Linked DNA regions of Lonchura striata. The main gene of each other region encodes a partner of the protein of the gene in region 4 in a complex. Links are inferred from orthologs where the notes say so. Each region holds a gene or a part of one and is shown on either strand. Other genes may lie near its edges.

Region 1 (7,657 bases), on a different chromosome or scaffold from region 4:
GTGAGATTTCTCTCTGCTCCATCCACCTCCATTGTATTATTTAACGTAAATGTTCATACGTAAACCAATGTGGTGTTATCAGTCCCTCTATTCTAGGGCTCAAATACTTTTTTAGCTGTTCATATTTCCTCCTGTCCTCTTTTCTCTCACTGTCATGGCTTAAGAATGGTATTCTCCAATTTAGTATTCCCACTGAAACCATTCCAAACCACTTGCCACTCACTCCCTCTCTCTTTCCAGTCCCAGTCCCCCTGCTCCAAGATGGAAAGGGGAATGGGGGCACAAAAGGTAAATATCACAGGTTGAGATAGCAACAATTTACTGGGAACAGCAATGACATAAGAAAACTAACTAATATTAGTGACAGAGGGTACAAGAAAAGAAAAGTTACTGCTCACCCCACAGAATTCCCCCTACAATACCAACTGCTTCCTGGGCCATGCAGCCCCAAGCTCAAATCAAGTCCTTTCTCCCTCTCTGAAAAATGATGTGAGGTGGTTCAGAATAAACTCTGGAGCCTAGCTATGCTTCTTCCCATCTAATGCAAAAAATAACTCTGTTCTGGGCATAACCAGAACCAGGACACTCACCTACTCAATTTCTAATTTTTTTTCCCCAAAATCTCAAACTAAATTAATGATCCTGCCAAGTTTCTTGTGCCCCTACAATTGTGACTGCAATTGCAATGCTAACTTCTACACTGAAGCTCAAAAAGAGAGGGAGAATGAACAGAGCTCATTTGTTTTTATGTGGGATGGTGGATTGACAAGCACTGTAGCAATAATGTTGTTATAATTGTGTTATCTAAAGCTTCCATCTATTTTTCTAGACTCACTGGAAGTTTCAGTTCCTGTAAGCTTAAATACATCGACCCCTTAAAAGCACAATCATGTGCTTGTGATCCCTAGAGAACACTAAGTAGATTTTCCACACAAGTTTATGATGTCCAATATATGCCTTAGCCAGAACAAATTGCTTTTCATAGGCCCTACAGTTGCTCTTTTTGTTTTAGTTTATATGGACTTTTTTTCTTCCCCCTAATTCCCTATTTCATTATTGTTTCTTCTTCTCCCTCTAAGACCCAAAATTCTGGGGAACCCTGAAAGCCACACAGATCTTCCAAGCTCCAGGACAGAACCCCACCAGGTAGACTTTCTTTTGCACACAGGGAAAACAAAACTTATAAACAGTATTAGATCAGAAAAAAATCTTGTAACATCTTTTCTCCTTCTTGGAGAAAAGACATCTCTAATGCTGACATAACAAATTGATTTACACAAAAGGCTTTCTCCTCCTAATTGAGCAGCTGCTGCTAGGCACAGTGGTAAAAGTCCTGCTGAGCCAAAGTCTAAGCTCACTGACTGTGGTAGGAAACATTTCAATACAGAACTACCAGTTAGCATAAACTATGCATAAATTAAATATACATTCAAGTGAGTCCTAAAATAAAGTTGCTCTCTATTCTGAAATTTTTTTTTTGTTAAAATTGTCTTTAAAAAGGAGAGGTAACTAGACACAGGATTAATGGGAGATATGCCTAATGGGAGTCCTTCATGCATTTTAACAAACACTAAAGAATTACAGTGCTATAAAAATGTAAACGCTGATTAAGAAAGTTTACCTGATCTGGCACACCCTTCCATGTTCTGGAGAACAGTACTTAAAATCAGAAGTATTTGACAGCACTCCAAGAACTAGTTAAAGTCATAAGCATTTAAACAGAGGAGAAATGTAAAAAGTTCTTTAACTCCTGTTCATCAAAACTTTACTTACTCATTAGCTTGGCAGTCCAACCAGACCCTCGATCTAAGTTCATGTGAAACAGCTCTATCTGCTGGCTTTGCATTACACCTCCCACACTCAGTACACACAAGACTCAATCAGCTCTAGGAAGTCTTTCACATGCCATGAACGAGCATTTGGAGAAGAAAAAACCAAAACACAAACCCAATCACGTGGGAGATACAAAGCAATAACCACATCCTTCAAACTCCGCTTCCATTTTTGAACCCACCCAGGCCAAGGTACTGTTCCAGTCCTGCCAGCCCGAGCATCAGGCACCGTATCCAGCCATGGCAGGTTCCTGAGGAGGAAGAGGGCAAGCACCAGCTGTGGCCGGTGCTGCACTGCCACGGGACAAAGGGAAGCAGGAGCAGGCAGCACCTGCTGCCATGAGGGGCTTTTCACCGTCTACTCTTTCTCTCTGCAGTCAAGGCCAGCAGTAAAACAGCTCCCCAGAAGGCAGAGGAGGTGGCTGGGCACGCAGGAGGTGTTGCAGATAAGTGTTTTAAGGCCACTTAAAGAAAATGTACTCTGAATATTTTGCTTCAGCGGGAGGGTCTTCCTTATCCCTTCTTGTCCTACCTTCTCCTGTCCTTACCATTTTCTTCCCTGCTCTTCCCCCTCCACACACTCAGCGGATAATAATTTTTTGGATTTATTTTGGCTGTAGATTAATCCGTTTTAGACTTTCGTCTGCTTTTCTTCGATGTGCTTCTTTAAAAGTAGAGCAAACCCTACCAACAAAATTTGTCACGCTTCTGCTTTTGTATCAAACGTGCTTTTGCCGACACCTTTGCTAGTGGTTCTCTAAGGAACCCCAAAGCCCTGACTCGCTGCAGGAGGCAGCGCGGCAGGCAGGGGGAAGGGGGAACGCCATACGTGAGGCACACGAGGCACAGCCGGCTCACCCAGCGGCAGCGAAACCTCCGGGCCCCGGACGAGCCCCGCACGGAGCAGCCGGAGCTCGGCAGCTGCCGAACGGACCGCGCCAGTGACGCCGCGGGCGCGGAGCTCACCGGGGCTCCGCCACCGCACGGCCTCAAGCTCCCCCCGCGCCGCAAGCAGCCGCGCTCCCGCTCCCCGCACGGTCCGCGCAACGCGGCCCCATCCCCGACACGGTCCCGTGGGCGGTCGGCTCACCGCGGCCGTGGCCAGGCTGTGCATGGTGGCCGGTGGGAGCGGAGCCGCCTCACGCTGCCGCCGCCATGGGCTCGGCGCCGCCGCCGCCCCTCCCCGGCCGCGCGGGGCACGCCGGGACGGGCCCGGGCGGGGCCGGCGCCTGCGCGCGGGGCGGGCGCGCGCGGGGCGCGCCGGGAAGGCGCTGCCGCGCTGACGTGAGCGGGCGCGCGTTGCGCGCGGTCTCGCGCTGTGCGGCCGGTTCCCGCCATCCGCCGCCCCTTCCCCCGCCCCCCCCGGGCCTCGCCCCGGGCCCCGCGGGACGCGCCGGGACGCGCCGGGACGCAGGTACCGGGCACCGCAGGTACCGGGCAGCGCCGCCACCGCGCAGCGCCGCCGCCGACTCCTACCCGCTCCCGCCGGCCGTCCGCCCCTCCCGCCGCGCGGTCACCGCCTGCCCTCCGAGCGGCCCGGCCCGGGGCGGGCGGCGCTGCCGCGCTCACCGTGTGTGTGAGCGGCGGAAGCGGAGCGCGGCCAGGCCCGGGAGGAGCCGGGACACCGCCGGGTCGGGCGGGGAGCGGCGGCGGCTGAGCGCGGGATGGCCGGGGGAGGCTCCCCGGCAGCGCCGCCCGGGCTGCGCGCAGGGGCCGCTCCATTCATTCCCGCCGGGATCTGTCGGGAACGCGCCTCGCCGTGCTCTCCGGAACGCAGCCGGGGCTCTGTCGCCCCGGGCTCGTGGCTTTCCGCGCGGGGAGCAGCGGGGGAAGCCGGAGACCTCCGTCCCGGCCCTGCCAGGTGGCCGCGGGTCCCGCGCCGTCAGGAACGAGCTCGTTTTCTTAATCTGGAGTCCTCCTCCAAAACTCTGTTTCCCATCTCTTGCTATCTTTCCTCAGGCGCTTTTTTTCCCTCCCTTACCTTAAATCCGGTGAAGTTAAGGGATTTTAAGGACTTTTGTGTCTGGAATTCTGTCTGCTCACCTTTCAGCAGTAAGGAGTCGGTGCACTGCTGTTCATACTGGGAGAGATTTTATTAATCTGAGTTTTCTACAGTGCCGTCCCGCTCTTCCTCACTGCGTTTAAAATCAGTGAAACGGTTCTACCAAACTTCTACGGAATGTTCAAGCCATGCTTCCATCTTCCTTTAGCCATTATTTGGCCCACAAAGTTATACATTTCTCCTTTTTAACAGGTTTTTAAGGTGGAGCACACTTACTGTTGTTAGCTCTTTTCTGTGAGAAAGCATGGCTCTGTTAAAGGTGCACGGACCTGTCCGGATGCGCAGCATGCAGACTGGGATTACGAAATGGAAAGAAGGGAGCTTTGAAATTGTGGAGAAGGACAACAAAGTGAATCTAGTAGTTCACTACAATGTTGGAGGAATTCCAACCACGTTTCAGGTATGCCAGACATTAAGGCTTTTGTTTTAACAGTGCATGGATTGTGCTCTCTTGTGAACAGCTGTCCTCTTCAAGGCTATTAAGTGTCCTGCAGACTTCCCTCTGTCACTGTTTCTTGTTCCTCGTTTCCTGAACACTAATCCCTTTGTATAACTCTCCAGTAAATTATTTACACGTATTGTTAAAGGCTCTACCAAGGTTGGCATTGAGATACCACTGAATGGGAAGGACCAAAAAAGCAGAAAAAAGTTACAGAAGTATAGAGCATCGTGGTTCACATTTCAGATTTTTGGATCCTGTGACCTTTCTCTTACTGGCACATTTGCATTCTCTAGAGAAGATCCTGACCATTTTATATTAGCTGTTTCCCCAGCTGAGGTGTAATGATGTTAATACACCTAATGTTCAGACTTTGCTGAACATTACTTGTTATGGCTGTTGTAGGTTTTTAATGCAGATGTAGATCACTGTTAAAAATACTCTTGAAATATTCAGCTAAATTTTTTCTCATTCTATAGTTGTTTTCAGGTCAGTCTTCCTAGATTTTGTGCAAAATGCCCCAAATCAAAAGCAGAGTGATTTTTCTATAAGAAACACATACCTGTTTTAAAAATATGTAATTGACATAAGAGCAGTTGGAGGAAAAAAAGATCCCAGTTTGTTTAGCAACTTTGCAATGGCCTAAAGTGATCTATATGTTGGCTTCTGCTTTTTCACACCACTCTTGTTTTTTGTCAGTAATGTTCACCAGGCTGTTCTCTGAGCCATTTATTTCTGTGTGTGCAGATGCTATGAAAAAAAAAAGTTAATTTCTTTTTGAAAAGTTAGTTTTTTGCTGCCTTAGTGTCCTTAAAAGTCTCAGCCAAGAGTCTGGCAGCTGGTGTTGCCTGGAAATCAAGGCTGTCAGGAAATCATTAGCTATGATTGCTCCCACCTGTGTTACTGCAGACTTGCAAAGAGTCTCTGCCTTCTCAGGTGTGCTGCTGTGGCTGCAGGTTTCGTTTAATCCACTGTTGGACCATGTTGCTCCTGAGGAGAGCAGTTTTGTCTTCCCCTTGTGCATTCCCTGGGTGCCTGTTCTCACACACTCCTTTCTGCCTGATGAGTGATGTGGTGTGACAGCAACTCACAGGGAGGTTCCACAGGGAGGATGAGCCTACAGAACAGCTAACCATGGCCTAAAGGGGCAGGTTTTCTTCCCAGCCTCTCATGTCTGCTGTCTCTGTCACTTGTCAGATCTCTTTGTGAGCTCAGTGGAGGGTTTTCACAGAAATTTGGGGAAAGGACTGAATGCAGGATCTAGCAGACAGGGTGATAAGCAACCATGCACCTGAGACTGCAGCAAAGGAGGAGGAGGAGGCTTGTGCTGAAGGGTAGTTTGTGTGAGACATCCCCAGGCTGTTGGCATGCCACTTCAGGTGTGACAAATTCCTGATGATCTTGCTGTAGAAGTAGCATTCCCTGTTTTTTTGACGAGCTGCTCTGAGAGGACTGTGAGTGAGCTTCCTGCCTGTTTTTAGTTTTCTGTAATGGAAGGTTTGGATGGAGCCGATATTATGTTTCTTTCTACGGTGACTAGTGTGCCATCGAATTTATTCTGTTAAATGATGTCTTGGAGATGTTTCAGAGCTTTAACTAAGTTGTCCTAGGTAGTATTAAGAGAATTACTTTGTTTCCCCACACCTGCCGAAACTATGGATGGAGTCCTCTGACAGCATTTTGAGTTGAAATGGGTTGTTTTGCTCTGAGATGGTGAAATAATTGTAATCCCTTTGCACTGGACTCAAGTGTTTCAACAGCATGGAAAACTTGGAGCCTATTATTCAATTCTTAGGTCTTTGAAGGTATTTTTAGCTTATATTTTTAAAAAATCCCAACAAAAAAGCCAAACCCAAAATACAAGGATTGAGCACAATGTGTTTCAGAAGTGTAATGCTCACATTAAAACAAACCCATAGTTACTGATCAAGGTGGTTTTTCAGCCCCTCTTACAAGCTGCTGTTGTGTCTAGATTGGTTTTCCAAGAAGCTAGAGATCTAAATTGAAAAAAAAAAAAATCTTGTTCTTGGGCATGAAGTGTCTTTTACTATCTCAGTCTTTTTGAGCTGCCCTCCACTTGCACGAGTAGTAGAACTTTACCCAACAGCCAGTTTTTGTAGGTGACTTAGCATGAAACACAAGTAAGGTTATTATATTACAAAATAGCAGTGGCATCATTAGGAAGCACAAAGTCTTATTAAAATTATTTTTGTGCTCAACCATAACCCTGAAGGTTTTGTCATCACTTAATTGTTAAGATGTTGCATACAGAGTAAGCATGTTTCTTACTGACTTACCTCCTCAGCAGATTTTTTTAAATCTGTCTTCTTTGGGAGCAAATTGTGAAGTGAAATATTTGTGTTTAATACTTGAAACTTTCCCCATCCTAAATTGTATTTTGCTCTTGATGTGGAGGTTTTTACCAATTGGGACTTCGTGAAGTTGTTTTTCCTTTACACTTACAGATGTTACACTGAGTAGAAAAGCAAGTTTCAGAAAGCTTATCTCTAGAGACTGTTAAGCAATAGTGACACTGTCCTTACAGTTCTGTCAGATGCCAAGGTCACAGATTGTATTAATTTTATGAGGTTTAATGTTTCCTTGAAGTGGAGCAAGGAGAAGTATTTTGGTGGGAGTCTCTTATCCTGTCTATTTGAAATCTTTTGTTTGAATTTGTAAGTATTTTGGGCTTTTAAGGGTGGATTTATGCTTATAGTCACTTTCTTGTTTTCAGTTAAGCCATAACATTAAAACAGTGACCTTACGACCAAATGGCAGAAAACTGTGCTGCCTGATGCTAACACTAAAGGATACCAGCTTTCTGACAATTGATAAGGTACCTTTTAAAGATGCAAATGAAATGCGGATGTATTTGGATGCAGTCCATCAAGACAAGGTTCATACTGGTAAGTGCAATTGTTGTAAGTCATGTTATAACATTATGGAGAGGTGTTGTGTTCTCTTTTTCCCATCTTATCGTGGTTTAACCATATCCAACAACAGCTAAGCCCCAAGCATCTGCTCACTCAGTCTTCCTAGTGGGGTAGGGAATAAAATGAGAAAGTGAAAATGAGGAAACTTGTGGGCAGGCACAAAGACAGTTTAGTAAGTGAAGCGAGAGCTGTGCACGCAAGCAAACAAATGAGGAATTCACTCACCACTCCCTGTGGGCAAGCAAGTGTTCAGCCATCTCCAAGAAAGCAGTACTCTACCTGTGTCATGGTGACTTGAGAAGACAAACACCATCACTGTGCCTCCCTCACTTCTTCCCCAGCTTTATGCACTGACCATGATGCCACACGGTGTGGGATATCCCTGTGGTCA
Region 2 (7,496 bases), on a different chromosome or scaffold from region 4:
CAATTATTTCATCTTTAATGAGAACAAACTATTTGGAAGGCAAACACAGTATCAAGGGGAAAACAAATAAAAGCACCTTGAGGTTTCTAAAGGCATCACATATGCCTTGGACTAAAAAAATGACAAATTACCCAAGCAAAATTTTAATTTGCTAATTCGTAGTCTACAAAATACAGACAGGATGAACACAAGAAGGACCAGAAAAGTTTGTTCACAATGGCGTGTTAAGGTGTTCGATTTGCATTTTCAAATTATCCCAGTCTGTAAATAGCAGCTAAGGAGGACCTCACAAGACATAAAGGACAGTATACCACAGCTTTACCAGTCAATGTCAGAGGCCACAGAAAAAAAAAAAATAAAATTACAATACCAAGATAAAACTGCAGGACACAGAAAATATAAATGGATATAAATGGTGCCCAACCTCAGAGCAATAAATCACATTGTACAGACACAGATCTGGAATGGTTAGTTTTCAAGCAAGCAGGTCTACTCCAACATACCAAGGGAAAAAGGATTTTTTTTTTCTGTTTAAACTGGTTCCTTGTTTCCAACAATGTATAATATTTCATCTTCACTCCAAATGTGACATGAACAGTCATGTCCCTCCTGTTCTCCTGTCAAAGGATAAGCATCACATTGCTTTTCTTTTCAATCTAGTAAAACTGGATTCCAACTCTTGAGCTAACACTGCAAGGCCTAACTTTGCAGTAAACCGAAGATATAATTGTAATAGTCAATTTTCCAGGTACAGCTGAAGTACTGGTATGTAATAGCATGACAGTTATGCTTGTTCTGTCATAATAGAAATACTGCAGAGGGTGAAAAGGGATGAAAATACAAAAAAACCCCACACAAACAACTAAAACAAAGCAAAAAAAAAAACCACTAAAAACGTCCCACCCTGAAAAACTCATCCCCCCCCCCAAAAAAAAAAAACACTCCTCATAGCTTTAGATTGAAATCTTCCTATACTTGCAAAATATTCTTGTATTTAAGGCAATTACATATATGCTTTAAAATTTACTTGTTAAGGAGGATAAAACAGTTAGGATGTAATGTCTGCCTGAAGTTTCTCTAAGTGCTTGAACACAGGCTTGAAGACCCTGAAGCATAGTTCAAACTTGTCCATATTCAGGACAAAAAGGTGTTTCTCAGGTGGCCCACAGTCACATTCCAATGAGACCTTCCATCCCCAAGAGCACCACAGCCACAAACCTTCCTTACCTGCTAATGCCAGCTGCAGCCCACTGATGTCCACCGACTGGGCCATGTTCCCCACATCCATTGCAGCAATCTGCCGAGGAGTCTTCTTGAACAGCTCTCTAGGAGGGGCCAACATCAGTTGTGAAAGAAAGAATTTCTCTGGAGGAGTTATGGGAGGTAAGAAGCCTGTGGAGACACAGTGAAAATCCATGGCTTTTAATGCAGGAGCATTAACAGTTTCTGTGCTCTTCCTGTATAACAAGCAAAACTAAGACAAACTGATCTGTTATTTATGACAAGGTAGGTGCAGCTGGAGAGTGTGTGACACACACAGAACTGTTTTAATGCAAAATACAGCACTACGTGATCAGTATTCTGCATGATGACAGCCACACCTGATGCTCACTCGGGTTCATTCACACAATTTCCAATCCAGACAAAAAGTGAGCTATTAAGTATGACCTGACATTGAAATTCACAGAATCAGAGAATGGCCTGGGTCGGAAAAGACATTAAGGACTATCTAGTTCCCATCCTCTGCCATGAGCAGGGACAGCCATCCCTAGGCCAGGTTGCTCCAAGCTCCATCTAACCTGGCCTTGAACATTACAGGGATGGGGCTTCCACAGCTTCTCTGGGTAGCCTGTTCCAGTGCTCCAGCCCTCTAACCAACTTGGTGGTTCTCTCTGTAGTCTCTCCAACAGGTTATTTTTTTTAGAAACTGCTTTACTCAACACTGGTAGTGTCATATTTACTGAAGAGGAAAAAAGTGTTTCACTCTCATGTATTTCTCTCTAACAGTTTTGTTTCACAGCTTTAAGGCCGTCAGAAGCCTCCTATCACCTCCAGCTTTTTGTGACTGCTTTCTCCCCAAAAAATTCCACGTTATCACAGAATCAATTAGGTTGGAAAAGACCCCCGAGATCATCGAGCCTGACCTATGACTGAACACTGCCATGTCAATTACACCAGGGCACTGAGTGCCACGTCCAGTTTTTCCTTAAACACCTCTAAGGATGGTGACTGCACCACCTCCCTGGACAGACCATTCCAATGTCTAATCACCCTTTCTGTGAAGGACTCCTTAATCCAACGCAAACCTCCCGTGGCTCAGCTTTACACTATGTCCTCTTGTCCTGTCGCTGGTTGCTTGGGAGAAGAGGCCGACCGCCACCTGGCTACAGCCTCCCTCCTTTCAGGCGGTTGTGGAGAGCGGAAAGTGGCCGAGCCTCCTCCTCTCCAAGCTAAACAGCCCCAGCCCCCTCAGGCAGCTGTAGAGAGCTACGAGGTCCAAGCAAGGGCCTGGCCGGCACCAAGCCCCCGCCGGCAGGACTCGCTCTCCCCAGGAGGGTTACAGCGCCGGGCCGCCCCGCTCCCCGCCGGCCGGGACACACCTGAGAGCGGGGTGCGCTCCGCCTCGTCGCCGCCGCGCTCGGGCGCGGGGTTGAGGAGGTGGGCGAAGACGGCGGCGAAGGGGTTGGCGGCGAGGGGCTCGGTGCGGTACATCTCCCAGAGCAGGTAGAGCGCGGTGAGGCGCTGCGCGGGGCTGGGCAGCAGGTCGGGCTGCTGCAGCAGCAGGACGAGCACGGAGCCCAGCCGGAAGTGCTCGGCCTTCCCGAAGTAGTGGTGGAAGGCGCTGGAGAGCCCCTCGAAGGTGCTGCCGCCCGCCTCCTCCGACACGATGCTCAGCAGGCTCGACAGCTCCTTCGGCGACAGGCTCATCCTGCCGCCCGCCGCCGCCTCGCCCGCCTCCGCCGCCGCCTGCGTGCCGGGCGCCGGGCTGCCCCCGCCCCCGGGCATCCGACCGCGACCGCCGCCGCTCCGGGCCCGGCGCTCCCCGCCGGCCGCGCTTTACGGCGCTGCCGCGAAAGGCGCCGGCGGCGTGCCGGGCTGCGGGGCGGCGCGCGCGGCCGGGAGGGCCGGGATTGGTCCGGGCCGCCCGGCGGGGGCGGCCATTGGCCCGGGCGGCGGCTGCGCGCGCTCCCGGCAGGGGCCGGCAGGGGGCGCCCGGCGGCGCGCGACGCTGCCTGCGCTGTCCCCGTGCGTCGCGGCGGGGCCGCGCCATGGCGGCGGGGCCGCGGCGGCGGGGCTGCGCCGGGAGCCCGTGCTGGGAGCCCGTGCTGGGAGCCCGTGCTGGGAGCCCGTGCTGGGAGCCTGCTCTCGGAGCCTACGCCGGGAGCCCGTGCTGGGAGCCCTGCGCCTGGAGCCCGCGCCTCCCGGGCCGGGGCCGCTCCCGGCCGCGGAGGAGCCCCCGCGCCCTGCCCGGCTGCGGGGCCGGGGGTGCTCTCGTGGCCGAGGAACACCTCATGGCCGCAGCACTTACACCGCGGATTGGGCCATTGAAGGGTCCGGAGCACAAGTTGCATGAGGAGCAGCTGAGGCTGCTGGGGTTGTTGAACCGGGAGAAAAGGAGGCTCAGCGGGGATCTTAACACTCTCTACAACATCCTCAAAGGAGGTTGTATCCCGGTGGGGGCCAGGCTCTTCTCTCAGGTAACCGGCGACAGGATGAGAGAACAGAGCATCAAGAGACACCAGGGGAGGTTTAGGTTGGACATTAGGGATTTCTTCACAATAAGGGTGATTTATACATTGGAATGGGCTGCCCAGGGAGGTGGCAGAGTCACTATCCTTGGAAGTATTTAAAGAAAGACTGGATATGGCCCTTAGTGCCCCAGTGTAGTTGATAAGGTGGTGTGCAGTCACAGGTTGATTCAATGATCTCAGAAATCCTTTCAATCTAACTGATTCTGCAGGGCTTATGTTCATCCTTATCTTCCATGGTCCAGTGCAGTTGAGACTATCCACTTTGCTGGTGGGGCTCTCAGCAGAGCTGGAGGGTGGTGGGCTGCAGTAATGTGTGCCTGGGAGTCAGGGATTGAAGCACATCCCTCTGAAGTGTGATGATGTTTCATTGGCTTATCTTGTGGAAGTACATCTTGTGGGACAGCAAGTCACTGGCTTAACCAGAAGTGCTGAGGTCATGGCCTGGAGGAAGGGCTTTCTGTGGAATGTGCTGAGAGGAGAAGACCTTAGGAAGTCCTGAGAACAGGCATTGATTCTTCTAGTAGTAGTATTCCTCCCAACTCACCCAGCCCTAAGGATCTTGGTTTTCCAGACAGCAATACATGTGTAAAAGATGGGATTCAGTTTCTAAAGTAATATAAACTGAAGGCTTGTGTAGATCAAGTAATGCAGGTGTTCTCTATTTCACATTTCTGGTGTGAAAGAAACCCAGATCCCAGAGGTGTAAAGGATTAATGTACATATAGAGTTGGTTAAAAAGGATGGGTCTGTGAGGAAAACAAGGTCTACAGCCAGGCAAGGCAAGATATGAAAGCCTTGCTGACAGAGCAGTTACCAGCGGACTGGATCACAGCGAGAAGTCTGCTTGCAACATATGCTGCTAGAAGAGTAAAGCAGATGGAAGAGGATGCCAGTGAACTCCCTGACCTGGCCAAGGGTATTCAAGGAAACAAAGCATTATTTGGAAGTTTAGGCCAATTTAGAGTTTACTAACAACTGCAACAATTACTTTAATTGTAAGATTTAGGAAGAAGATGAAAGCATTGCAGATAGCTGAGGAAGTAAACTATGTATGTGTGTGGTAGAGCTAGATGGAAAACTTGGGAAAGCAGAGGCCTCAGACCAACCAGCAGGTTTTCTGTTTCTAGTGTGCTGACAAAAGTTGCATTTGTTCATTTTCGGCCTGAAGTTTATGGATAGAAATGATCACATCTAAAATTGTGCCTTATATTGAGGGATGGCTTGCTGGGTGGATTAGCACCCAAACAAACCTTGATGCTTTTGTCCGGGTGATCTTTTTTGTACAGCCTGCTCCTAATAACAAACTCTGCTGAAGACAGCAGAGCTAAAAGAATAAATATGTTTAGAAAGAGAAAGCTGCTTCTTCTTTTCCTGTAGATTTCAGAATCATACTTCGCTCTTTGATGTTGTGCTTACTGGAATAATGGATGCAGAACTGCAGAAATGGACTTTAGAGAAATAAAAACTTTCCTTGATGACTGAGATAGCAAAAAAATTGTATTACTCAAATGTGCTCACTAATGCAGCCATATGGAAGCATTCAATACAAATTAAAAGGTTTTGTCAGAACAGGAAAGCTAACAATTTAGAAGATGGAATTCTTATTAGGAAGTGGGATAGGCACGAGCATCAGTTGACAAAGGGAATTTTGAAGTCACAAAGATTTTAAAACAGATTACCATTTCAGGGTAGGAAAAACCTTAATCCAAAAAAAAAAAAAAAAGCAACAAAAAAAACCCCAAAAACCAAAAAAAAAAAAACACCCATGAGTGTAAAATGGTCTTGGGACAGGAAGTGTAGTAAGTAAAATAGTGTTTCTGTGACTGCACAGGGCACTGTATTTTGCGTACACATGGGTGTATTGGACATCCTTGGGCTCAAAACTTGTGTAACGAAGAAGCGAGAGTGTGTTGTACTAGTGCAGACTCAGATAAAAGAAATTCTTGGCCAGATCTGAAATGGATTGCATTATACTCAGGGAGCAAGGTTGGGACCCCAGTTCCCTTGGTGGGCCAGGGGGATGAGTTCTGCAGGAGATGTCTCAGTGCAACACAGTCTCATGGCATAAAAGGAAGACTTCAGTTTTCTCCCTTTGCAGAACAATGCCTCTGGGTGCAGGCTGAGCATACTCCATTTCTTTTAGATGGCCTGTGGAATAGCTATTAAATGGTCAATATAAGCATAAAATACACCTGTCATTTTTTATGTTTGACTTTAAGGAAGAACCTCAGTAAAAAACATGCTTTGAGGTGCTAGAGAGGAATAAAGAGATTGGGGCTGTACTTAAGTTTCTGATTCTCATGCCCCTTGTGTAACCCTGTTCTGTTGGCTCAAACATGCTAATACATATTAGCCCAGACACAGAGATCCCAGACTAGAAGTGATAAAGGCAATCTAGTTTGGCAGGTTACTCTTTGCAAATACAAATAAAGCTTTACAAAATAATTGGGCTGTTAGAATGCAATTGATGTAGTATTTAAAAGAACATCAGCTTTTGATGACTTGTAATTGTTGCTGGAAAATTAGATTCACAACCAAAGGAGAACAATCAGATTTGATTTCCGGAGCTAAGGGCAAGGCTATGCAATTTAACTGTAGGAGTCCTCTTTCCTTCTTTCCTTCTTAAAATTTATGATATTATTTACTATTGTATTTTTTATTGTTTACTATTGTATTTTAGATGACACATAAGAAACACAGGCTACATTGCAGGTACTATAAAAAAATCCTAATGAGGGATAGATAGAAAAAGACAACATTTGGAAGGAGCAATAAAAGTATTAAAAAACTATCCAGCCAGTATTTTAGCTTCTTCTAGCAAAGAGGCTAAATACTCAGGAAACAACTTCCAACAGCCTATCTTTTATCCCCACAGTTCATTTAGGAGGGACACAGTAGGAAAGAATTAAGTCACACCTTAAAGTCAACGGGTGAATTAAAACTCTTCCAGATTGTTCTGTTTATTCTCATGAGAATTCTCTCTTGTAAACAAATTCCTTTCCATAGTAGTTAAAGTGACCCATCCTGTCTACAGTGTATTTTAAATAGCAGCATATCAGAGAAAGGAAGGAGAATATGCATTCTGTGTACATCTCTTTATGTGTATCTTTCTAGCAACAGTTAAATGTTTTCTTCCTAGTTCATCTTTTCATTTCAAAATATGAGACAGGACCACCAATACGGAAACAGATTTTGTTATTCCTGGAGTAATCAACAATATTGGCATGCTAACAATACCTAAAAGTCTTCCTGAGTAACTGTATGAGAATACATCTTCACTTGTTAACTCTCTTAAGCTGCCAAGGTATCTTGGATACAGCTTGAAAAGCACTTAAGAAACACCAAAAATATCATTGCATTAATGGCTTCATAAGTGCTGAATACTGAGTGGCTTAGAAATAAACATGGTCATTGCTGCAAGTTTTAGTGAGGTCTCTGCATTTTAAGCCACATGTGATCACACCTGTAAATTAATGTTAGTCCACTCTCTTGATTATTTGAGTGTTGGATGCTCCCAGAAGAGACAGAGCTTTGGCCCAATTAGATTTATGGTGAAACTCCAACAGGGACATATTGGCACGTAAAAGCAGCATAAAGTATTGCTATTTGCATATGTGTCTTTGGATAGACTCTTCTTCTGACAAGGAAGCCCTTTCCTGATCACTTAGAAACTCTTTTTCCTTCAAAAACTGTTTGAAGCAAAATAATATTCTCATTTTTCCTTTTTTTATTGCTCTTTTTTTA
Region 3 (7,228 bases), on a different chromosome or scaffold from region 4:
CTAGCATCTTTGCCTAATGTGGCCCTGTTTGAGACTGGGATATAATGCTCAGACTGCACATACACAAGCATACAGCCAAAAGGATGTGACAAAAACAGATAATAATTTAAAATTCAACAGTCTGTTAGCAAACAGAACCAGGGCCTCTGCAACACGGACTGCACAAGTGGATGGAAGAATTCTGGTTCACCACATGGACTCCTGGCACAGTGGTGAGCCAAACAGCATGGCACAATGTGCTACGGACACTCATATTTAAGATTTTTGGTAACAGAGTAACAGAACCCTTTTTGTTTATACAGCCACATTTTCAAATATGGATTCTTTTGTTCATATGTTGGGAAAGAATTTTTAGTTTGCTCAGTCTTGGAACCATTTTGAAGACAGTGGTTTCTACCACAAACATTGCACTTGGTTAAAAGAATGTCTTCCTAATATCTAGTACAGCCCTATCTTGAAAAGGTACCATGCTCATTCAATTTGTGACCCTTCATAACATGTTTTCAAGTCTTCATGTATAAAATGTCAAATGCATTTACCTGCCCCTGCAGTACTACAGTTTCATCTATCTTTATATTTCAATTCTTCCTCTAAAATTCAAGCACAGTAAACATCCTGAACATGAGACTGCATTCAGAGTTCAACTTCAGAATGCAAACAGAAAAGAGATGCATGGTAGGATCCTTTTTAAACATGGGCTGATCCAAACGATTCAGGTGAAAAGTGAACAAAGAGTTAATCCAAATGCGAAGGGCTCCATTTCAGTAATAGCACGAATAAACCCCCACAGAAGGCTTCATTGCTAGCAGCAAACTCCACAGAGTCCAGATGAACCAGCAGGAAGAACAGAGGGCAGATAATCCTGTAAAATTACCCCAGTGGAAATGTTGATAAATTCCCAATTATGAGACCTGCTCTAGAATGAAAAGAAATGAGAGATACAATACAATTACCAGTCAACACTTGCACATCTTTGTGTTTAAGCCAGACAAATACCACAGGTATTTCTTAATCCCTTGGATTTTGAATTAGTTACCCACTGTGCCGAAATCTAGATTATGAAAATAAGCCCCAGAAATCAAATGAAAAAACAGGCAATCTGCAACTCTAGTTACAAAGGAAATACCCATCCATGAAGTCCTATTTTCAGTGATGCAATTTTCTATGCGTTTGTGGAAATACAGATGGCTGTATTAAAATACAAACAAACAAAAAAACAAAACAAAAAGAAAAAAAACACCAAGAAAAATCTTTAGCATACTGCATTTGTTTTGAATATAGTTCTTACATGACATAAAGCAAAGCAGCACAGAATCAGGTTGGAGAAGACTTCTAAGATCATCGAGTCCAACCTAGGACTATAACCTAGTAGGTTTCATATGAATTTTTAATGTTTGTGGAAAAAATGCTGATAAAATATGTGTTCACCATAGAGACTAAGACACAGACAGGTGCATTTGATATCTCCTTTTCTAAAGCCTTGTCTGATCCCAGGCTTATCGCTCTCCATAAAATTCTGGAGGAGGAAAGGCTGTCCTGTGAGCCCCAAGACGGACCGGGGGGTGCAGGAGCTGCCCACCGCCCGCTCGATGCGGTTCGCAGGCGGCCCAGGCGCTCATTCCCCACGGCCTAGCAGAGGCAGTGACTCCGCTGGGGCCCCGCCCGGTTACGGAACGCCGGCCGGGCCGCCGCGATCCCGATCCTGATCCCGATCCCGGCCCGGGCGCCGCCGCCCCCGCCCCAATTCCCTCTGTTTATCCCTGCACGCGCCCGTCCCGCGGCCGCGCGCGCCCGCCCCCCGCGCCTCCCCATTGGCCGCCGCCGCTGTCACTCACGGCCCCCGCGGCCCCGCATTGGCCGCCGCCGCTGCCACTCAGGGCCCCCGCCCGCCCCGCCGCTCCCTCCGCCGGAACGAGCGAGCGGCGCTCCGGCCCCGGCGCCAGCGCGGCCGCGGCTCCCGCTGCCGGCGGGGCGGGGAGGGACGCGAGGGAGGGCGGGCGGCCGCCGCGGCTCCTTCCGGAGCAGGCGAAGCGCTCCGCTGACAGGCAGCGCTGCCGCCCCTCGCTGCGCGCCCAGCCAGGCGGATCGGCCTCCGGGGAGGCAGCGGCGCGGGGCGCCGTGCGTGCAGGGTGGACGGGCAGTTCCCCCGATTGGTGTCATTTCCCTCGGCCTTTTGTTTAATTATTTTAAACTCAATTGCACGGTGAGGGAAAAAAACAAAAAAACCCAAAAAACCAACAAAACCTACCAGCACCAATAATAACAACAACAACAACAACAAAAAAAACAACTTCAGGCTTCCAGATGCCATTATACTAATTTCTCTTAATTGCCTCTCCGATGCAAACAGAGCCGGGCTCCTGCGCGGCGCCGCCCGGCCCGGCCCGGCTCCCTCCCGGGCTCCGTCCTGCCTCCCGCTCGGCGGTGGGCGCTCGGGGGCTCGGCCCGGGGCTGCGGAGCCCTCTCCGCGCCGCCCCCGCTTCGAGAGCCGCCGTTCCTCGCCGCCTCCCCGGCCGCGGAGCCTCCTCCGGGCGTCCTCGCAGCAGCGGCTGCCCAGGCCCAGCACACCCCCGGCCCCCCCCACGCCCAGAGGGGCCCCCCGACACCCCCGAACGACGCGGCGCGGGGGCTTCTCCCCGCCGAGCCCGGGGGTCCCCCCTCGCCGTGCTGCCGCCGGTCCCCCCCCAGCGCACTCCTCCCGCAGCGCTGCCCCCCCCGGGCAGAGCCCCCCGCTCCGGGCCGGGCGCCGGGGCCGCCCCTACCTGTGGCTGCAGCATCCCCGTCCCCCCGCCGCCCTCGCTCCGCCGCCTGCCTGGCTCTTTGTTTCCTGCCGCGGGCCGGACGGGAGAGCGGCTCCCCCCCGCCTCCTCCTCACACTCATTGAAAGCAAACAAGCATCATGGCGGCGCTGGCGGCGGCGGCGGCTGCGGGCGGGCCGGCCCCCCTCCTCCGCCTCCTCCTCCTCCTTCCTCTCCTCCTCCTCCGCTCCGCTCCGCTCCGCTCTCCGCCCCACCTGCCCAGCCGCCCGCACTGCGCGCACGCTCCGCGCGGCGGGGCCGGGGGCCGCGGGGGGATGCGAGGGAGGAGTTGGGAGCGCGTTCGGGGTACGGCCGCACGAACGCGGCGGGGGGAAAAGTGGGTGAAAGTAACGACTGGGCTGCGGAGGAAGGCTCGAAAGCCGAGCAAGTGGTGCATGGCAGGGAAGGGGCTCCTAGCAGCAGCCCAAGGAAGGCGAATTGGAGTAATCATTTGTTTGGGAAAGAACTTTTAAATTCTCCTGCAAAAGCCCAAGTGGGGAACTCAGCCTTGAAGTGGATGAGCTCAGACACGGTGCAGGTGATAGGCCAAACGCTTTTCAGGAAAGACAACATGTCTTCTATGTTTGCGTGTTTAATGGGAAACCAGTACCTCGGATCCTTCGCTGTGACACACTCAGGAACAATGTTTACGGTGAAATGTCCCCCAGAATCGCCAGCAGCACCTTTTTGAAACTCGGGTTGCGGCTCACGTTATTTTTCTCCATGAACTGATTATTGGATGCAAACCAAGATATTTAGAAAAATAAAGTACATTCTCATTAAGTGTTATTATTACTGTCCCTGCACAACAGGATTTTATGATGAGGGATGCCAAGTGAAGTGATGGTGGGGAAGTGCCATCCCTGGTGTAATAGTAGCAAAACACCTAAATAATGACTTCCAAATTAAGGATTTCATCAGTTTCTCAGAGAGTTAAAATGCTGAAACATTGATGATGCTGCAGCAAATGAGCACTTGGTACACACCCCTTCATCCAAAGGAATAGTGAAGACAAAGACACTCCCAGACACCCATAACTGTCCCAGAACCCTGTTTATGATCTAGGAAAGCTGAATAGGAATTGAGGCCTCTATTTAGGTATAACTAGATATGTAGCTGAAAATAAATGGCACTCACACTCACACTGTTGTGCAGCAAGGCATTCTCTTTTAACTCAATGTGAAAGAGGATGGTACCAGGTCCAGCTTCTGAGGAACACCACCCCCATCCGTGGAGGCCACTGCTTTGGAAAACATGACCGTGGCATGCTGCTGACCAAACCTGCTCACAGAAAGTCCTCCACGGAAAGGTTGACACTTGGTTGGAAACAATCCTGCTAGACTTCAGATTTCTGTTCAGCCTTATCATATCATATATCTGAAATGCTCTTGGATGATAAACTATCTCCTCTCCACATGGTGCAGTCCTGTGCTAAGATACCCGAGCCTGCTCCATTACGGATGCGCACGGGCTCTGGCAGAATGCCCTATCTGCTTCCCCGTGTTGGCTGGCTCTGGAGAGCTGACAGTCATTCAGAACTGACTCGAGCAGCTCTACATGTCATTCTCCTGCACTGCATGTCTTTTCTTTCTGATAAGCAGCTGTCCTGCACATTCTTCAGTTAATACTTTCTGGGTCAGATATGGCCTCAATAGACTATATCATTTTGCCCAGAGCAAATTCTCCAAAAGCAGTAGGAATGTCTTTGAATACGTTGCAGGATTTTCCAGGAATTGCTACTCAGCAAAGAAAATTCAGTTGATCATAAGTCTCTCAAAAAATGCTTGCAGGGAACCTTCATTCCTCAGGGATGGGTGCTGGGGTAAAAGTACATTAAACATGGAAAGGTCTACTGACAAAGGCCTGCAACACTGCAAGTGGAGAACCAATGGCAGAAAATACTGTAATTCTCAAATACCTGAGATAAGCAAATGAGAACATCGGAGAGAATAATTTAAAAGCAATTAAAAATTATTCTGTATAGATTAACAGGAGATCACAGCAATTTGGCAGATTTCAAGTTAGTGAGCTTTATTATGATTTTACAGGTTATTTATAAAAAAATCAGCAATATTTGAAAAGCCTAAAATTACAGCCTTTTATGTCAACAATGTTTTTTAACCGCCAGCTTGTGTGGTTTGAAAGAGCAGAATGAAGTAAAAACAGGTATGTGGGGGTTTTTTTAGAAACTGTTATGTTCCACTGAATTTCCTGTCAGCAGTGCTATTGCTCATCTGTGCGTCTGATTAACTTTTGCTCCCTGAAAGTGTTATCAGACCTGTAACCAGGCAAACAGCAGAGCAGATGGCCAGTGCCAGTATCGGTGTTTCTGGTCTGGGTGCTTAATGAGATCTGAGAGTGTAACATGAGCCTCTTTCATTTTGTCTGTCTCACATGGCAGATATACTTGGTGCAAGTGCTCTGGTTGCTCAAGGTCACAGATTCATCAATCAAGAGAGATCCCTTCCCTAAATTAATCTTTTACCTGCCCATGACAGTTCCATACATCTCAGGAGCTGCCAAGTCACACTGAGTGCTGTTGTCCTGAGTTTGGGACAGTAGTGCTGCAAAAGAGAGCCAGGTTAAGCAGAAATTGCCCACTGTTTAAAACACAATGTTAGATGTACTGTACTCTGAGAGTAAATTTTCACTCATTAACTCTAAACCAAAAATGCCTTTTTGTGCTGTGAAATAAGCCTTCAGCTGGCCTAAATCTCCCATCCCACACAATTGCCTGTACCACACTATGAAGGTGAATGTCCCACAACATTTCTCACCTTACGCTTAGAAGTATTTGCTATGAGTGGTTTAAAAAAATCTCAATAACGCCCCCAACCTCCTGTCTGAATGCACGTGTCCGAGGCTGGAGCTGGGAGTGTGCCTGGGAGGCCTCAGGGAGGCCACTGGGTCCATTTGACCAAGGCTTACAGCTGGTTCGAGGTCCTGGTGCCTCTGTGCACTGACAGAGGGATGTGAAACTTGTGGTGGAGAGTTGTCTCTGTGGCGGAGCAATGGTACATTTTTGCTTTATTTAAATTGCTAAATTTGGTGAAGATGTACTCTTGAAGTATCTGTATCCAGTTGCACAGTAGAGGCTTGTTTGACTTCTAAGTTCTTTGTAGTAAAGGATGTCCTTCATCCTGCATGGCTCACGCATCAGCCCATCCTGTGGGAGAGCAGGCACAGAGGGGTTGTGGCTTGTGGGATCTCTTGTGTCTGGGGTTACAGAAGGGGTGACCAAGGAAAGGTCCTACCCACTCCCTCACTTTCTGTGCCCAGGAAATGTGACAAAAGCAACGTAACTGGAGGCAGGAAAGGAATCGGGGAGGAGAGCACAGTTTTGGTAAAGCAGGGGAGATAATGAGGAGGAAAGGTGTAACTGGGAGATGGAATGGGATCCCAAATAGGAGGGCAGAGCCTAATAATGGTCTGCATTTTCAGTGTGTGTGGGTATAAATACAGGAATCTGAACTGCAGGATGGCTTCCATGGCTGTTGAGATCAATGGGATAGCTGCTCTGAACATGGCATATGCCTAAAATGACAGGTAATCTGAAAAATGAGGACTTAGAGCACTCATATTGTGCTTCTGAAATCATTGCATTTTTAATGATTTCAGCCTTAAGTTTTATGGCCTGTTCTCCATCTACCGAGTGAATATAAGAGCATCTTCTTTCACAGCTGGATAGTAAAGATAAATCTTTGATGTTTATTGAGCATTAGAACTACAGTGAAAGCTCTATACAAAAAGCATTGAGGCAATTAATATTCCTGCTTTTCTCTGCATGGAATGGAGTTCAGTGGTTTCCAGAAGACCTGTATGTAAAAAGGTAATTGAAATCTCCCCTTATGCATATCCACAACAGAGATGAATTCAGGAATTTTAATCCTGGGATGGCACAATTTGTAGGTAAGGCTTTGCAGCCTTAGAATTACTTTATTATGCATTGTTAGACAAAAGTGGAATAAGTAGTTTGAAAGAAACTGAATATGATCAAAAGCTTTCCTTCTAGAAATATCTGTGTTTTAGTAGGAAGACTTCCACAGTGAGAGAAGAGTTTCTAACTCCTTTTTGTCAGTTATGAATACTATTATACATCTCTGCCACCACCTGAGATACTTGTGTACTGTGTTTAGATGACTCTCAGAATTATTTAGATATTTGATAAACTGTCAGGATTGCAGCAGTTTAAAATGTACATTGAATCTTGTTCTCTAGCTCAAGCATGCAGGTCTGTGGAGCATTGAGTCATTAATACTTCCTAGTGTGCACATTTGTGCTATACTGTAGCAGTGACGTAACAGATCTAAGAATGCTATAATTCTTACTTGTCCTAATCAAATATTAAAATCTGAAGGCTGTTGAGAAGCATGATGTTGTTTACCTCATTGTCATTTTTTAGACACAGGCTGATTCTTGCATGTTTTTAT
Region 4 (6,833 bases):
TAAAAATTTTGATTTGACTTCCTAAGGTACTGTACTTCCATAGAAACTGGTAAAAGGCTTTCTATTTAAGCTAACATTTATAAAGACACACAACAAATGTGGCAAATACTCTGCCAAGAATTTAAAAATTTTCCTTTTTGATAACGCATTTTTAAGGTGCCTTTTATTCAAGCAAATTATAGCTTTAAGGGAAGACATAATTTTAAAAGTTAGATACAGGGGTCTACTTCCATTAGAATAAAATTCTGTACTTGGTGCACTTTATATACTACCTCAAAGGAAAACAAGCAATTCAATGTTTATTTTTAGTTTCCAGATAAAGTCAGAAAGCCAGGTGATAGAAACCTCTGTTTTAATTGAAATACGGTGTGTTTTTAAGTTCTATTATCTTCTTGAGTTCATAAAAGGATGGAGGTGGAAGATATTTTTGAATAAACAAAGTTATGATACAAGGCCCCTTTAAAACCATAATGAGGTTACTACTTAGCAATTACTACACAACAGCCCTTCCATCAACATGAATATTAGGATAATTTTTAAGAAAGCTACAACAGAGGCTAAAACAGCAATAATGTTCCTGATTTCAAAGCTAATCTCTATCCAGACAGAAATGCATTTAGAAATATTAAAAAATTAAACAGAAATACTTTCTGAGATCTAAAGGTCCACTGCAGGCACATAGAATTTTCATATGAAGCTACTAAGGTAAAGACCAAGATTTTCAGGTGGAAACAGCCACTTCTTAGCATCAAACAATTTTTTAGCATCAAACTTCAGAACACACCAAGTGTCCTATTTTTTTCCACTAAATGACAATTACTAGAACTGGATTCTGTTAAAGAAAATTCAAATCTGTTTTTTTGATATAAATTTCTGGGGTTTCTTTATTTTCAGTTTTTAGCCAAGGGCTTTTCTTTCATTTCTTGATAGAACTGACACACAAATAGATTGCAATAACAATGACTACCTTGACAGCAGTATTAAGTTTCTAGAAGAGATATGTAGACAAGGTTTATCTACTACTACACTCTTAGCTTTATCAACAGATTGCTGAAAATGAAACGGAAATACACTTGCAAGTCAAGTCAGTCAGCTCTTGATAAGTGAGTATTCAAATCCCTTTCTAAAATCAGAAGCAGTCAACACCTCGAAGTTTAGCATACCAACTGAATACACAACACAAAGAACAGTGGAATTGGGGGGCAAAAAGAAGAGGGAAAAAAAGGCATGGGACAGATACATCATGTTCAAGTTCACAAAACTTGATCCTGTGAGCTATGTTCCATTAATGTGTCAGTATAAGGTAACTTAAAGTACATCAGCACATACACAACAATTCTTCCAGATCCAAAGGAAGATGCCTTTGCAATATAAACTTCTAAAATTACTTTGCTCTTGCAGGTCTTCACAAGTCTGAAACAAATCCAAGTTTTCCAAAAGATAAAGTTTTCCAATAACAGGCATGACAGCAGGTTTGATCATCTTAATCTATCCTTCCCCAGCTGAAGAGTTAAGACTAGCAGCCAGTCACCAACACCAGATGTTGCTGCTTGTGCAGGCACATAGGAGTGTCTCCTCCACGCACTCAAGTCACATAAACACATATATGTTTATGAAAGATACACAGAAAGTTCTTATCCTCCCCTGGGGATAAAACACTGCAAAGTTGGGAACAACTTTTTCCCTGATAAAAGAGACAGCAGAAATTAAACATGCTTGTGTTAGATTTGAATAAGCAGCAGAAGCAAATACCACCTTACACAAACATATTTTCATTTTCCCACATTACAGAGCCTCCAAAACAAAGTTACTTGTAACTTCACCAAAAAAACCCCATCCTAAAACCAAGAACACCCATTAGTTGGTCCTTGTTTTCACCAGAAGCATACATACACTAACTAGACTGCTAACACTGACACTTGCATCTTTTCCCACCGCCCTACTGTCCCCCTCTTATCCCTAACCTGTCACCCTGTGCCACCTCCTCTCCCAGCACGGGTCAGGCTCACGCCAGAGCTTGTCATCGCCGCCCAGGCGGGCAGGGGAAGGCTGGTTCCTTCCTCCGGCGCCCGCGCTCTGTCCCTTTCAAGTTTGTTTTACAAACACGTCCGAGGGAAAGCCAGAACCTGTTTACACACAGCCTTAACCTGCACCAGGAGGAGAGTGAAACAGACGCAGGAGAAAAAAAAAAAAAAAAAAAGTAAAAAAAAAAAAAAGAAAATAAAATAATTTTTCAACCGAAAGCCAGCCAGCAACACCCCCATCTCACCGCCTTTCTCCGCCCGGGGCCCGCGGCGCAGGCCGCACGGCCGCTCGGCGGAGCGCGGGGCCAGCGCGGCCCCGGCCGTGGGCGGCAGGTTCCGCTGCCCCGGCGCCGGGCCCGGGGAAGGCGGCGGGCGGGGGCCGGGCGGCCGCGCAGCCCCGCGGGGCCGGGCTCGGAGGGACGGAGGAGGCCTGGGACCAGCCGGCGGGGCGGCGGCGGGAAGAAGCCGGTCGGGCGGGCCGAGTGGGCCGCAGGGCGAGCTGCCAACGGCGGCCGCGGGGATGCGGGGCCCAAACACAGCCGGGCCGCGGGCTCGCCCGTCCCCGCAGCGGCGCCCGGGGGTCCCGCCGCCCGCGGCCGCGGAGGAGGGCGGGGGGCGGCGGGCCGGGCCGGGCCTGCGGCTGCGCCCCCGGCTCGGGCGCCGCGCGTCCCCCCCGCTCCCCCTCGGAGACAAAAGCAAACGGAAACACGGCGGGGCGGCCCCAGGTCCACCGAGCCTCGCCGAGGGCCGCGCCGCCGCCCGGGCCTCCCACATCGGGCCGCGGCCGGGACGGCGGCGAGGCCCGTGTCGGCGGCGGGGCCGGGGAAGGGGCGGCCGGGGCCGGACTCACCGCATGAATTTTCTTGTCCCGCGAATCCAAGATGGCTGAGTATCCAGCACGGAGGATGCTGGGGGAGCAACCTTTACCCTCTGACCCGGCCGCCGCCGTGACCCCGCCGCCGCTCGTCCCGGCCGCCGGCGCCGAGGGGCGGGGGCAGCGCCGCTGCACCGCCCGCAACGGCTCGGCCCTGCGGAGGGGCTGGGGGGGACGGGAGGAAGGGGAGGAGGAAGAGCAGCGAGGCTCCCTCGGCTGCGCTCCCTCCGCCTCCCGCGGGAGACGCGGCCCAGCGCTGGGGGCAGGGCCCGCAGGCCGCGGGGCTGCCGGATGCCGCCGGTGCCCGCCGGCCCCGCCGAGACGCTGCTGGCCGGGGACGCGCCCGGCCCAGATCCCGTTCTCTGAGGGGAGAGGGCGCCGGCCTGGCGTGCCGGGCCAGATCGGGGCGTGGGGGTCAGCAGGGTCGGGGCGCAGCGGGGCTCTCCGGTCCTCCCCTCGCTGTGCTCCCCGGGGCTGCCGGGGCCTCTGGAGACCTACCCCGGGTGGACGCGCTCCCTTGGCGAGCGCCCCGGCTTCCAGAGAGGGTGTCCCATCCTCCACGGCCCTGCTCTGTCAACTCCCTTTGGGTTGCAGAGCGCAGAAGGAGCGGCCTGGCCTCTCCGCAGGCTGTGCATCATCCTGTGGAGGTTCTAGGTCAGGAACGACCCGACGATGGGGTAAATTGTGTCAAAGTTCCCATTTTCTCTGGAGTGTGATAGCAGTAGAGAGACAGGTCCAGCTATTAACTTTGTGTGTTAATAAAGAGGAAAAGCATTTACAAGATGACCTAAGTGGACTTTTAATTTATCGACCCACAAAATGTGTGTTATAGCAGTGGCTTCAGTACAGCCAGTGCTGATGCACAAAACACTCATGCAAATAATCCCCTTGAATTTAATGAGACTGTCAATGGTAAAAAAGCTAAGCCTTTGCACAAGTGTTCACAGGATAATGGCCAACATCATTTGTGAGCTGGGTGCTCTGCTCCATCAAAAAAAACCAAACCAAAACAAAACAAAACAAAACAAAACAATGGCACTGACACCTTAGTTTGTAAAATCATCATAAAGTTTAAAATTTCAAGCAAAGATATGAGCAGCAATAGCAGGTTTCTTTCAATAGTTTCACACGTGTGCTTTCTTCTCAGGTTTGATTTTGAACCTTCAGATTGAATTTAGAATTACTGAAGAACTCATTAGGTTACACAACACTAATATTTTATAGAAAAAGGTACTACAGTAACATGTCTATCAACATAAATACATTTTGAAGATAAAAGAGCAGCCTTCCTTTTAAGCCAGGAGACCAGTTTCTTTTTGCCACCAGCTTTAGTTGTGTGATGAGAATGGCTGCCATGTCATTGAAATGGATGTGTATATACACCATCCAGGAAGGCACTGCATTTTATTATTCCAATCACAAACCTTTGTGACAAATTCATGCATTTGCTAGAATCAAACCATTAGAAAGTACCAAAAGTGACATGCTGTTTATAGTATGAACTTCTGGACCACTTTTGTTGTTCAGTCTGAAAAATCAAAAATTTCCTCTTACCACAAATCAAATACAAAAGCAGTACTTTTATACTGAAAAATACAATCAGTGTTATTAACCTTCAGTGTTATTAGTGTTTATATAGTCTGATTCTTTTATATCTGATTATAAACATCTTGCTTCATTATATTTCATTTCACACTTCTTCACTGGTCTGACTTTCTTTTTTAAAAGCTAATTTTCCTTCAATTTTCCCAAAGAGAAGTCATTAAGACAATACCAAACAATATGCTGTAAGTAAACTAAGAACCTGATATTGTCATTGCATGTACATGGGCTGATCTCTCTGTTCATTGCAAAGTAACACTTTACATACAAATCAATTAGCATTTATAGGACAAGAAGCTTGACTAGCTCAACAGAGCTAGTAATGGGGAAAAAAGTGTGTTATCTTGTGTTAGACTGGTTAGTTTAGTATAAACAACCCAACCTGCACTCACAATATGTGTAAATTGTGATTAAAATTCTGTTAACTGAAAAAAATCTAACCTGTCCTTCTGCTTAACTCTGTGTTTAGTTGAGGAAGTTCATTACTCAAGCTGTAGTAGCTGTGTATTCTACTTCCTCTTTTGTTTTCTTAAAGAAAGTGAAAGCATTTAGTGTTTTGATGTGTTAAAATAACGTCCAAGGCTACCAGTAAAGAAGGTGTATTGTCAAGTATGTGCTCATACCTTTGCTGCTTTTAGTCTTGACTCAATACATTTTGTTACAAAGGTGAGGTCTGTTTCCCATAGTTGCATCTGCTTAATTAAAGAAGTGCCCTGAACGCAACTAACACGAGGACTGATAATTTGTGTGGACAGTCCTAATCCATTTTGAACCATGTATGGTAGAGTTTTACCTCATTCTTTAGGTCTTTGTCTACAAACTGATATGCATCTGTTATTTTTATTCTCATTTAATCAATGGTCTCTTACTATTTACTTATTCCACAGACTAGGTTGATACACATCCATCTTCAATCAGTGTAAGAATGCCTGTAGGAGTCAATCTGAAAACTTTTGTCTATAGCAGCACAGGTGAAGGAACTACAAAGCATGATTACAGAAACCTGTCCTGCATGTGATCATGTGTGCAGGCCCCTGCAGTCAACAATCCATGTGTTGCCATTGACACAGCCTTCTACCTAATGTTCTTGAAAGCTGGGCCCTGAAAGCATGTGTTCTGAAGCACTCCCAACACTTGCCTACCATCCGTTTGGACTTCACTGGCTAATGCTTCTGCTAGTACCTACAGAAGGCTAAAAACCAACAGCACTTGGCTGGAAAGTTTGGGAAGAGGTCATCAAAAGAGTCAGGTGTGCTTTGAATCCCCAAATGCTTAGCTCCAGAGAGTTCATCAACACTCCGTGACTCAAAGTATCACCAACAGATGTGGGCAATGCAGGTGCAGAAGTGGGAGAAATTACCCAGAGTATGTGTAGGGCAGGGTTAGGCTGTTCCACTTCACCAAAACGTGAAATTAAATTAGTCATAGTAAGACGACCATCCTCACTTAAGAGTGGAGGCAGAACATGGTGAATTAGCAACCCTATAAGCAATTTTTAAATAGAACAAAAATGTTAATTGAAATGCAGTTTTTCTCCCACCTATGTATTGTCACCAGAGTTTTCAGGAAAAACAAATACAGTGCAATCACCTGGAGCAAGAGTTGGCAGCTTTTCAGCAGTGGTGAAACAAGGTTGTATTTTTCTTTCCCAGATTATGGATTAAGTCCCTTGGAAGAAACAGCTTGAATTGCAAAGTGCATTTGATCAGCTAAAACAGTGAAATACTGCTTCAGGAGAAGACAGAGGTTTCTGTTTTCTGCAGCTTCTCCCTAATCTATTTCTTACTTAATGATGTTCAAAAGTGCCTCCATTGCTTTATTTGGAAGGTTGTAGGGTTACAGCACTGCACTGCATTAATCTGTGGCCTAGAAGAACGTGGCAGATTTTTTTCATTAGTACAGCCTATTTGATTTTTCAAATATTTCTATAACAGGAGGATAAAGGTATGTCAAAATGTACACCAAATCTAATATTAGAGATTATCTATTAATTAATCTATTATTAGAGATTAGAGAGGTGTTGACAACACTTTTTTTTTCCCAAGAACAAAAGCACTGAGACCTCACATTTTCTTAGTGTATTTACTTGTAGTTCTTAACTATTACACTGAAATTGAGCACAAAATATTTAGATTTGTGCAGATTTGGTTAGATAGTTTGACTTTTGCAAGTTAGTCTCCAGTTGCTAGTGCATTTAAGAAAGGTAGGGGAAGGATCAGCTGTTTCCATGGCACTGTCCTTATCTATCCTTTCACTCCTACAGGGGATTTCCAGGGATGGCTGCTGGCAAGGGAAGCCCTAGAAGTGCAGCTCAATTACTATTTTAGCGTTAA

The links.
Region 1: CNOT2 (region 4) and CNOT9 share a complex: the UniProt entries of both Homo sapiens proteins name them as parts of the CCR4-NOT complex. The link is inferred for Lonchura striata from reciprocal best matches to the Homo sapiens genes CNOT2 and CNOT9.
Region 2: CNOT2 (region 4) and CNOT11 share a complex: the UniProt entries of both Homo sapiens proteins name them as parts of the CCR4-NOT complex. The link is inferred for Lonchura striata from reciprocal best matches to the Homo sapiens genes CNOT2 and CNOT11.
Region 3: CNOT2 (region 4) and CNOT6 share a complex: the UniProt entries of both Homo sapiens proteins name them as parts of the CCR4-NOT complex. The link is inferred for Lonchura striata from reciprocal best matches to the Homo sapiens genes CNOT2 and CNOT6.

The regions. Positions count from the first base shown.
Region 1 is NC_134610.1:15,626,884-15,634,540, reverse strand, and holds the start of CNOT9 (CCR4-NOT transcription complex subunit 9), read right to left. Parts: upstream 3,023-7,657; 5' UTR 2,947-3,022; coding exon 2,923-2,946; intron 1-2,922. Other genes in the region: USP37 (ubiquitin carboxyl-terminal hydrolase 37), read left to right, coding at 4,139-4,294, 7,068-7,239. UniProt on the Homo sapiens protein: Component of the CCR4-NOT complex which is one of the major cellular mRNA deadenylases and is linked to various cellular processes including bulk mRNA degradation, miRNA-mediated repression, translational repression during translational initiation and general transcription regulation.
Region 2 is NC_134604.1:87,469,773-87,477,268, reverse strand, and holds the start of CNOT11 (CCR4-NOT transcription complex subunit 11), read right to left. Parts: upstream 3,007-7,496; coding exon 2,601-3,006; intron 1,393-2,600; coding exon 1,228-1,392; intron 1-1,227. UniProt on the Homo sapiens protein: Component of the CCR4-NOT complex which is one of the major cellular mRNA deadenylases and is linked to various cellular processes including bulk mRNA degradation, miRNA-mediated repression, translational repression during translational initiation and general transcription regulation.
Region 3 is NC_134617.1:7,163,093-7,170,320, forward strand, and holds the start of CNOT6 (CCR4-NOT transcription complex subunit 6), read right to left. Parts: upstream 3,019-7,228; 5' UTR 2,763-3,018; intron 917-2,762; 5' UTR 540-916; intron 1-539. UniProt on the Homo sapiens protein: Poly(A) nuclease with 3'-5' RNase activity.
Region 4 is NC_134607.1:44,843,650-44,850,482, reverse strand, and holds the start of CNOT2 (CCR4-NOT transcription complex subunit 2), read right to left. Parts: upstream 3,005-6,833; 5' UTR 2,875-3,004; intron 2,324-2,874; exon of another isoform or gene 2,270-2,323; intron 1-2,269. UniProt on the Homo sapiens protein: Component of the CCR4-NOT complex which is one of the major cellular mRNA deadenylases and is linked to various cellular processes including bulk mRNA degradation, miRNA-mediated repression, translational repression during translational initiation and general transcription regulation.